Daphnia pulex: one gene and its partners. The protein of the gene in region 2 purifies or fractionates together with the protein of the main gene of each other region. This does not show direct contact. Links are inferred from orthologs where the notes say so. Each region holds a gene or a part of one and is shown on either strand. Other genes may lie near its edges.

Region 1 (3,295 bases), on a different chromosome or scaffold from region 2:
ATCATCCAGCCAAGATTCGCGAAAGCACCTGCGTTATTTACTGCGAGTCTGAAGACCAACTGAAGTGTGAGTTCTTTTCAAAAACGTTGTTCTACAATTCAGTTTCTTATTCTTAAAATTCTTTCTTCTCAGATCAAATCGTTGAAGATCGACCTTTTACATTACCAGGCGAATCTTCCGTTGGGCAGCTTATTTTGGCCTTTAGTTCTGACGCACGATACTTGGCCGTCTTCGATCAACAACGACCCCGTGTATTATGGATTTGGGAATTACCTTATTTCTCGCTTAAAAGTGTACTGGTGCATTGCTCCGCGATCAGAAGTATTTTCTTTCTTATCTCATCCATAAAAATTTTTACATAAATGAAATATCATCTAGGTTTCAAATGGTCCCATACTGATCCTCGTTTGGCTACCGTCTGTGGAAACGGTAATTTCTATGCCTGGACACCCGTGGGTAGTGCTATTACGGATCTTCGACCTACCAATATAATTGCTTCAGCTCTAAAAGCAGATCGTGCAGATTGGACCGCTAGTGGAGAACATTTGATGATTGCTGGTAAAGATGTAGGCTGTGTGTGCCAAGTAAAATAGTCATTAACAAAAGATTTAACCAGATAAAGCATATCTTGTATAATTTCTGAAATATATATATATGGCACCAGTAGAGAGCAAATGTGTTAAGCTAGACATGAATTGGCAAATTAATTATTGGCATCAGGAATTTGACTGTTGCAGTTCCCATGATACAAACTGATAAAACCTTTACATTCATAAAACTGATCAAATATGTCATCATAGCCTTTTGACTTCCACCATTGGCACAATTGCCTATTCCAGTTACAAGGGAGTGTATAAAATAATTGAGGATATTCCAATGCAACAAGTGTGTAGAAATCTTGATCACCCAAATGTCCCTTGAAGCTGTACTTGTCTGTCAAGTTACCTAGTGAAGAATTAGTGAGGAGTGACTGATAGATGACAGACTGCCTCATTTTGTCTAATTTCATCAACACCACTCCACTATTGTAGCCAGGAAAGCCTTTTCCTTTAGGTTCTCCTAGTAATGAAGTCTTGTGTTGATTCCGGTAAACATAGAGTATATGGCGATAAACTGGTGACAATTCAGGGGCTAATCCAAGCAGTTGCTGATCATCAAAGTATTCAAATTGCTGGTTGAGCTTCTCAACGCTGTCCCGGAACTCTGTATCCACATCCACAAATATGAGTCTGGTAACATCAGAAGGGATCAAATCTGGTAGTTGCACAGATACATAGAACAGTGCTTGACTGTAATAAGTCCCTTGCTTAACACTAAAATATTGCTGAAGCACTTGAACAGTAGTGACAAATTGCTTGACAAAAGTGTCTATAAAATAGGCTGATACCTGAAAGGAGAAGAAACAACATTAAAAAAACCTCTAACAAAGTTCACATAAGATCTTACTTGGATATTGGTTTGAGTTTTCTTTGATTCATTATGAATAATCTCTTTGGCTATTTCCCAGCTACTTGGATCAGTTACCAAATGAAAATGCAAAGCAATGTTTTTGGAGCAGAGTTTGATGAGTGAACGAGTCATTTTTTTGAAATTCCATTTTAGAGCAGCCTTTTGTCCAACATTACAGAAAATCACAGCAAGATGAATGGCTTCCGTCGACGAAACATTGGCATTCTTGGTATTGGCACTGTAGTAAGTAAGGGCAGAGTTATTCTGGTATTCATCGCCATGTTGAACAGATGCTGAGGGCGTGACATTGTTGAGCACTGCACCTGTCAATCCCGAGATATCTTCACTTGAGCGCAAGTTTCGAAGATTAGAGCCCAACAAATGGGGCCCAAATCTTCGACTCACATTCTTCTCGATTTCGTTATAATACAAGCAAACTAAAAAAGAACATGTAGCAAGCAGGAAAAGAAATAGATGGATTGATTTGGGCATAGAATCACAATAAGCAAATCAACCATCCTACATAACCACAGGAATATGGTGGCTCCACCTACAAACAGCATTGCCTACGATGATTGTAGTGGCTCTAATGCCATGTTATTTTGATTTTCGAGTTATTTTTTGGCACCAACTTGCAAATTTTACTAGTTTATTCATGGTACTCATAGACCATGGTTTATTTTCAAAATTTCACGCCAACCTTATTCATTCGTGCATTAGCAGTCGGGACAGTAGATCAAGTGAATCTGTGAATCATATAAAAAATCATTATGACCCTGGTTTAATTCAAATTAATTTGTGAAATGTGAGAACTTTCCTGACTAGCATTTATCATTTTTAATTGCCCTTTCGAATTTCGATGCATAGCAGTTTGTAACCTAACATTTTTCTTTTTTGCAGATTTGAGGCCAGAGCCAGCCATCATAAGGTTCCACACAATATGCAAGTTTTTCTTGTGCAGGTGTTAAACCTGTCATTAGCAACAATCTCAGGATCATCGCTTGGGTAATGATTTCCTTTAATTTAAAATTGACCTGTGACCTACTAGATATTTTAATTGCATGCATTGCTGCATTACCTGCATCAATGCAGTGTATTACATGTATACACCTTTCATTCTCCCATTTATTAATAATTAGGGTTTACCCAGTGTCTCATTTTCAACTTTTCCTGACTTGTTGTTTCTATCAATATTTATTCGTAACCCATTTTCTTTTTTCATTTAGATACACAGTATCCCATTGCATTAGCAAAACTACCGATGTCAATCGAGTTACGGATTTCTCTTTTCCCCCTTTCTTTAAATGTCCTCGTGTACGCCCATGTGAATGTGGGTGTATTCACGAGGACACCCTTTATATCTTATCCTGGTGCAATTTAACTCTTCAGCGATGGACTTGTGGATGCCTGGCTGTATTTCCCAGGCACTAAGGTAGGACAAAATTGATCTCTATTCTTCCTTTTTGACAATTTTTGGTGGGGTTGATTTTAAATCGTTAAGTAGTCACGGAGTACGTTTCTTCCTGAGCTAGACGGTTGTTGACTGCAACTGTTTTCTCTCTCCGTTTTTGTTTTTCTCAGTCAGGGTTCACTAAAAATCCCATTTGTTGTACGACTTCAGATCAGGCTTGTTTTGTTTTTTACCTCACAACTTTTTCTGTGGGTAAACCATCACATTTGAAAATATTTCAACTTTGAACACTTCAAGCAAAGTTCAACAAGACAATTTGTTGACCAAGCCTCACCGGCACCTCCTCGTTTTGAGTTATCCGAGTTATTTTTTGGTGACAGAATTTTACTATTTTACTCAAGTTTACATGTGTAGACTGATTTGGGTCGGTCGGGT
Region 2 (2,435 bases):
GTCGACGACGCAACAGGTAATTTGACTAAATAAATGGCTGGCTATAAAAGCCACTAAAAGTAATAGAATGAGCTAATAAAAAGCAAAAGAGTCACGACAAATAAAACATTCCCCCCTCCAAACAAAAGCAGGAAATTGGGCGGTCAAAAGGTCGAAAGTGGTAAAGGCGGTGCTGACGACGGCGAGGAATGCGTTCCGCTTCAAGAGACTCCCGGACCGAGCGACGTTCCACAGAATCGAGTCGGAACGCCAGTTTAACAAAACACACAATCCAACTGTTGATGAGGCTAAAAATAATAATAACAAATGATTTCAAATCCAGTCAACCATCAAAACGTTTCTGTAATTGAATATAAGAAACATAAGCTCATCAATCTTAACAAGATTTTTTTTTTAAATAAAAATATACTCAACTTTTTCATCAATTAATTTTTCAAGAAAACAAAATTCTTACTGTTTCTTTTTTCCGCTTGTTTTGGTATTCGTGTGTGTGAGCTTCCTTTTGAATTCTCCCGCCGTTGTCGTATAATCTTGCCGCCATTCAACTTTTAAAAATATCATCCGAAAATTGTGTTTTTCTCCTCCTATCGCTTCGAAATCATCCCCCATTTGAATGTCTAATTGCATTATATATCAATGTCACAAATACAAGATAAAAAAAGATTGTGTGAGGGGACGACATTGAAAGTTTATAGACAAGAAGAAGAAGGACAAAACAATTTCAGGCCACACTCAAAAGTGATTGGATTAAGCAAAATTTTGTTTCGACGGAGAACGAGACGATAAAAAAGAGTGAAACAAAACAAACAACAAAAAAGAAAAAAACTACTCGAGTCAACACAGACAATACGGCAACAAAGGCCGGCAGTTTGTTTGTACACAATTTCAAAAAAAAAAAAAAAGTGACACACACGTCGAGGATTGAGAGACTCGACGCGTATTTTGAGAGGAACATGACACCATCAAAATTCATTTTTTGGATGGAGCAAATCTGTTTTTAAAAAACAAACAATTATCAACCGAATATAAACGCAAAAAAATTCTAGGTTGGGATCGCTTAGCACTTTTGTTTATAAAAAATTTTCCACTTTTGTCAAGTTTGTTTCAGTCAAACTTGTGATAAAACCAAAAAAGGATGGCTGGATTCTGTTGAATAAAAATCAGGACTTGATTGCAATGGAATTGACGTCATGAAGTAAACGTGAATGAGCCGCCGCTTCTTGCTCGGCGCAGCACGAATTGGCCAGCATCAACTCGTCCGCTCCGCTTTCATCCGCTCTTGGCAATGGATTGGGCGCCACGATCCGGTTGGCCAGTCCGTTGGCTGTCGAACGCTGACGGCAATCGTTGGCAGTGATTTCCAGTAACTGTTCAGTCTCTCGACCCTCCAAGTTCCAACACAGAAAAAAGCTCAAATATTATTCCGCTTGATCAAAATTAAATTTAGTGAAAAGCGAATCGCCATTCCAGTTGAGGTGTTTTCGGCATGCAAGAAAAAAAGGTAAATAATAATAGGGAGAAGAAAGAAATTAAAGAAAAAACAATTTTTATTAATACGAAGAAGGGCATTTAGAAAATAATCAAAAGTTGGCCAAAGAAAAAAAAGCGATTCGTGTAGAATGTTGGGGCAGGTAGGTAGGAGTAATGTGCACTTTTAATGTGTGGCAAGAGCATAGCAGTGTCATAAAGCAATCAAACTCAAAACTAAATGTGACTACCTACATCCTCGAGAACTATAATTCCGTCACCAAGGGTCGGGTTTTGTTGACCGACGCCCTTTACCTGTTTGGATGGACCGCAGCAAGTGTTGGCTTCGCACGTCTCTTTGGCTGGGCAATCCAATGCGCAACTCTCTGTCTCGCTGGCACTTTCGTCTCCAGGAAGCTAATAAATCAATGAAATGTTTTAAAAATTAACTTCTCTTTTTTGATTAAAGGTTTAAAAACAAAATACTTCAGTGAATTCTGGCTGGATGGTAGTCGAGTGAATTCCTTCATTGTGGAAAAATTCTTTGACCCTCTCGGCGATTTTCATATAGTCCGACAGATTGCGGCACCTTTTATTACATTTGAACAAACTCAACGGATGAAACAGTGACACAATTGAATTATGTAAGGAAAGCACGTACCGAATGTGAGCTGAAGCGATAATCCGATCTCCTGCCAGCTGCCAGACGTGAAATTCGTGGACTGCCAAAACTCCTTCAACTTGGCTAAGCAATTTGCGCTGAATGTCGTCCAACTGGATGTGAGTCGGGACGGTTTGCAGTAGAATCAAGGCAGACTCGTGCACTGCGCCAAGAATAACACGAAACATAAATTATGATAATGTGAACGGCAAACAATGGCGTAAAAGTATTGATTTTGTTCTTTTCCCACTTACACAATGGCCAAGTGGACCACATAATCAGGCAGACCATGGCCACGCTGAGAGCG
Region 3 (4,118 bases), on a different chromosome or scaffold from region 2:
ACAACAACATCCACCGACGGTACACAAGAAGAAGAAGAAGAAGAAGAAAAAGCTACGGGGGAGAGAGTCCGTTCTTCCATTTGTAGAGAAAAAAAAAAACAAAATTTCCTTTGGGGTTTTCATGACACTCTCTTTGGCCAAAGAGAAACAAAATAAGAAAAAAGATAGAGAAATAGGTAGGTATACAAGTTCTTTTAACGTACCCGTTAATGGATGTTTGGCTGACGAAAGGAGCGAGAAGCGTGCGGGCCACCAGGTGGAAAAGTTGAGTGAAGACGGCGTCCGAGCGCTCCTGGCAACGCTCCAAAAACACCTGCGTCTCGGCGTCGGCCCAGTCCAGCTGGAGGAACAACTCGGCGGCCTCCGGCTCCAACGCTTCCACGTTCACCTTATACCACTGCGAAAAAAAAAACAAAAAACAAAAAAAATAAAAATAAAAACAAGAAACAAAACAACAGTACGTCATTTATCTAATTCTTCTTTTCTCTCTTCGCCTTTTTCCATTCATTCCGGGGCAAAGGAAATCGAGTGAGGGCGATCACGGCCGACGGCGTCATAGTCGGAACAATCAAACTCTATATTATCAGTTCTTATTACGTGTCTGTGCGTGTGTGTGTGTGTGTGTTTTCCTCGTAATAGCCGATAACAAATCAGCGGCTTGATGGCTAGCGCCACCCGCACCATCGGCGGTCATCCGGCCAACTAACATTAAGGCCAATAACCTGCCGAAATAATATAACATGATGAAATAATGAAAAGAAGAAGAAAGAAGAAACCTAAACACACGCACACACACTGTGACACTGCAACGTTTTTGTGTTCGATTGTCAGTCCGCCCCGGCATTATGTAACACGTATGGAATTTTCTATTAGGCTGGCACCGAGGTGTCAATCTATTTGACAGCTAGACGCCCTCCTCCTTTTTCTTGTCCACTGACATTTGCACCGAGTTCAAAAAAAGATGTTGGAATTGAATCACACCAAAAGAGCGAGCCCTGTGAACAAGCCATGTGTCGCCCATTCACCGAGGAAATGTCAAAAACGTCAAAGAGTCCAAAATACTACTTTTTTTTTGTTCCACCCACTCTCGATTGGAGATTGTTTCACGGTAGTCTGCCAAGTCCCGTGAAACTGGGGAGGGAAAATATTATTAAGGTGAGTGATTGAAAAGAAGAGAAGAGGACGAAAACAATGCGTCTAAAAAATGAAATAACATCGTGAGAGGTTTCTAATGGTAAATAAAAGAAGAAAAAATAAACTGTTGCTTCGGTGTTTCGCTATTGTCGGGAGGCCGGAGATGGGGGGGAAGCCTGCGGACAACAGCAACAACGTTGCTCTGATTAAGAGAACAAACGCTACCTAATTACTGCCATTAAAGCCGGCAAGTTCGGGAGTGCCGGGCGACTGTGCACTCAAACAGGAAAGAAGAAGAAGAAGAACAAGTAAATGAAATGAAAAAAGAATAAGAACGTCGTCGCAAGGAGAAAGAAAGGAGGGAATAAGTAACGAGAAAGAAGGGAACAAACAATAAGTCTTGTGTGTGTGTGTGTGCCAGTGAAGAGAGAGAGAGAAGAACAAGTCTTTTCTTTCACGCCAAAGTGAAGCTAATTTACCATTCACGGCAGAATAAATTGAATGCGATGGGAACGAAAAGGGAGAAGAAAAAATAGACGAGATGGCCAAGGACGGAAAAAGAAACAAGGTCCCAGCTTCTTCTTCTTAACTTCCAATTTGAAACCTATAATTCCCTTGAATCCACCCTTTCCTTCGGTACCCGCACGACGGAAGTGTCTCTACAACGAACAAAAGGGGGAGGAGGGATTGAGCTTAGGGTGAGAGAGAAATTGTACGATTTTTAATTGGACTCGAGAGAAGAAATTCGGGAAGGAAAGACGAAGAAAAAAGGAAAAATAGCTTCGATAATAATGAGTTTGTAATTGCTAGGTTGGAAACATGATTAAAGCCGACCGCAAAACTACCCAGTGGGAAGAAGGTGGTGGTGGTGGAACGTCGACGTCGTGAGGTGGGGCGGCAGGGGCGGTGAAAGAAGCACTACGAAGGACGACGACTAAGACTAAGAGGAGTCGCCCTCATTTTCCCGATGTGGTTAACATCCCCGAGAGACCGCCATTCACGGCCATTGTGTTTGCCTAGGCTGTAAGACTAATTTATGATTCATTACTGATACCGCCCCATCACTAGACACAGCAACCAAGTGTTTCTCATCAATGTGAGGGCTGTGAATGACTCGTCACCTTGCAGATGTGGGAGTTACCTGAATGACGATGGGCTGGGATATAAGTGTGTGTGTGTGGGATTTACCTTGGTCCTGTCGAATTTCTTGAACTCTTCGTCCACCAGGATCTTGGAATAGACAGAACGGGTTAGAGCTGACCTGAAGTAAGGCCTGGATGTGGGTGTTGTTGCCGGAAGACACTCTTGGCAGCCAGCAGTATCACAGGAATCAACTGTTCTGGAATGGATCGAAACACTATCCATCCTGCCCGCTGAGCCAGGCATTGTGGCTGTTGCACTGAGGCACAGAAGCAGGCAGCAAAGAAACTGCGTGGTGGGCTTCAGTCGATAATTAACGAGTTCACATGCGTGCCACAACAAGCAGGGCATGGGAAACTTTCTCATCAAAACGGACGATCTAATTGATGCTTGATGTGGAAATATTAAGATGCCGTGCGACTACTTTTTCCGCTTGATTATAGTGTGACTTTCAATGCAACGAGAGTGGGCTGAGCCTAGACAGCATAAATAACAACAGCATATGCTTTTTAACGAAAGCATTCAAAAAATCTCGAGCTCTTGTCGTTCTTTTTCATAAAAATGTGGGCTGCAGCAGACGACGTCAACGTGATCGATGAAAAAGGTGAGGGCTAAACAGCAACTTGGCGGGCGGGCTCGATCGTGATTTATTCTCTGCACTCTGCAGAGAAAAGAAACGAAAATGCTTGCAACGAAATTGCGATGCATCAATTGAACCTCGCGATTTTTTCTCCTGCCATTTTCATTCATAAAAGAAAATGACATTTAATGCACGCGGGAATGATGCGAAACAACTGCCGGCAACAAAATCAGACACGACTCGCCAGCAGACACGCGAAACTAAAGAGACATTCTCCGAATAGTCTTGTGATCCCAAGCGGATCTTCAATATGTTTAACGTCCTGTTGTACCACAAACAAAATGCTGAACCATAAATAACCTCGAGTATAGTATAGTGAGGAGGATACAACACCGTACGATGAGAACAAAAACAAAGTAGACTGTCTACTGCCATTTTTGAATTCCGGTGCATACATAATACATGTGGCCAACGAAAAACGGGGGGGGAAAGATTTTTTTTTTCTCTTCCATGCACATCCGACGTATGCATAGTATATATGTATTACGCACACAAAAATATAAGCCCCTATAAGGTCTAACATTTCCTTCATATATATACCTGTGACCACAAAATCTATTGTGCATCGTTATGACAAGAAGAGGGGAAAGATTTCTTAGCCTTTTTATTATTATTATTATTTTCTACTGTATGTGAGAGTGTAGCAACCCCCATCAGGATTTTGGTGAATGATGGGAGGGTAAGTTTTCTTTTTTTTTTTCTTCTAGAAAAATAGAAATCGGTCGTTTTTGTGAAGCTGCCCCGTTGCATCCCAGTGTCGTTTGTCACACCCTGGGCCACAGTGGAACATGAGAATAAAAACTTTTGGGGGCTAACAAAAAAGAAAAAAAAATGAAACAACTACAAAAATAAGAAGCTGTTGGAATTGGTAGATGGCACGTCCCTAAGCACACAGTCACATCTATACCTGCCAGCTACCCAACGTATTATGGGTCAAAGGTTTCCTGAACTGTGTCTAGCTTGGAGAACCCCCCACATTGGTATTATTCGTTATTTTCTTCCCCCCCCCCCGATCCTCTATACTACACTGGAAGAAAGAAAGAAAGAAAAAGAATAAAGGTGCAGTCGTGCAAGAAGACGGACGGACGATGAAGGAGCTAATGAACGCGACTCTCCATCCATCCGACCGTCTCTCTCTCCCCCCAATGGGTGGAATGCTGTTGGAAAAAGACAGACACACACACACACAGCACACACACAGAAA

The links.
Region 1: the proteins of zinc/cadmium resistance protein-like (region 2) and xyloside xylosyltransferase 1-like purify together in Homo sapiens (co-immunoprecipitation; 3 studies listed by BioGRID and IntAct, with this or other methods). This does not show direct contact. The link is inferred for Daphnia pulex from reciprocal best matches to the Homo sapiens genes SLC30A1 and XXYLT1.
Region 3: the proteins of zinc/cadmium resistance protein-like (region 2) and protein-L-histidine N-pros-methyltransferase-like purify together in Homo sapiens (co-immunoprecipitation; 3 studies listed by BioGRID and IntAct, with this or other methods). This does not show direct contact. The link is inferred for Daphnia pulex from reciprocal best matches to the Homo sapiens genes SLC30A1 and METTL9.

What each region holds. Positions count from the first base shown.
Region 1 is NC_060021.1:8,468,049-8,471,343, forward strand, and holds xyloside xylosyltransferase 1-like, read right to left. Parts: upstream 2,006-3,295; 5' UTR 1,942-2,005; coding exon 1,447-1,941; intron 1,388-1,446; coding exon 704-1,387; 3' UTR 608-703; downstream 1-607. Other genes in the region: WD repeat-containing protein WRAP73-like, read left to right, coding at 1-66, 133-321, 379-593. UniProt on the Homo sapiens protein: Alpha-1,3-xylosyltransferase, which elongates the O-linked xylose-glucose disaccharide attached to EGF-like repeats in the extracellular domain of target proteins by catalyzing the addition of the second xylose.
Region 2 is NC_060026.1:1,535,391-1,537,825, reverse strand, and holds the end of zinc/cadmium resistance protein-like, read right to left. Parts: coding exon 2,383-2,435; intron 2,292-2,382; coding exon 2,129-2,291; intron 2,057-2,128; coding exon 1,954-2,056; intron 1,885-1,953; coding exon 1,783-1,884; intron 1,386-1,782; coding exon 1,161-1,385; 3' UTR 609-1,160; downstream 1-608. Other genes in the region: uncharacterized protein LOC124204766, read left to right, coding at 1-16, 129-258. UniProt on the Homo sapiens protein: Zinc ion:proton antiporter that could function at the plasma membrane mediating zinc efflux from cells against its electrochemical gradient protecting them from intracellular zinc accumulation and toxicity.
Region 3 is NC_060019.1:9,214,851-9,218,968, forward strand, and holds the start of protein-L-histidine N-pros-methyltransferase-like, read right to left. Parts: upstream 2,881-4,118; 5' UTR 2,641-2,880; coding exon 2,323-2,640; intron 398-2,322; coding exon 204-397; intron 1-203. UniProt on the Homo sapiens protein: Protein-histidine N-methyltransferase that specifically catalyzes 1-methylhistidine (pros-methylhistidine) methylation of target proteins.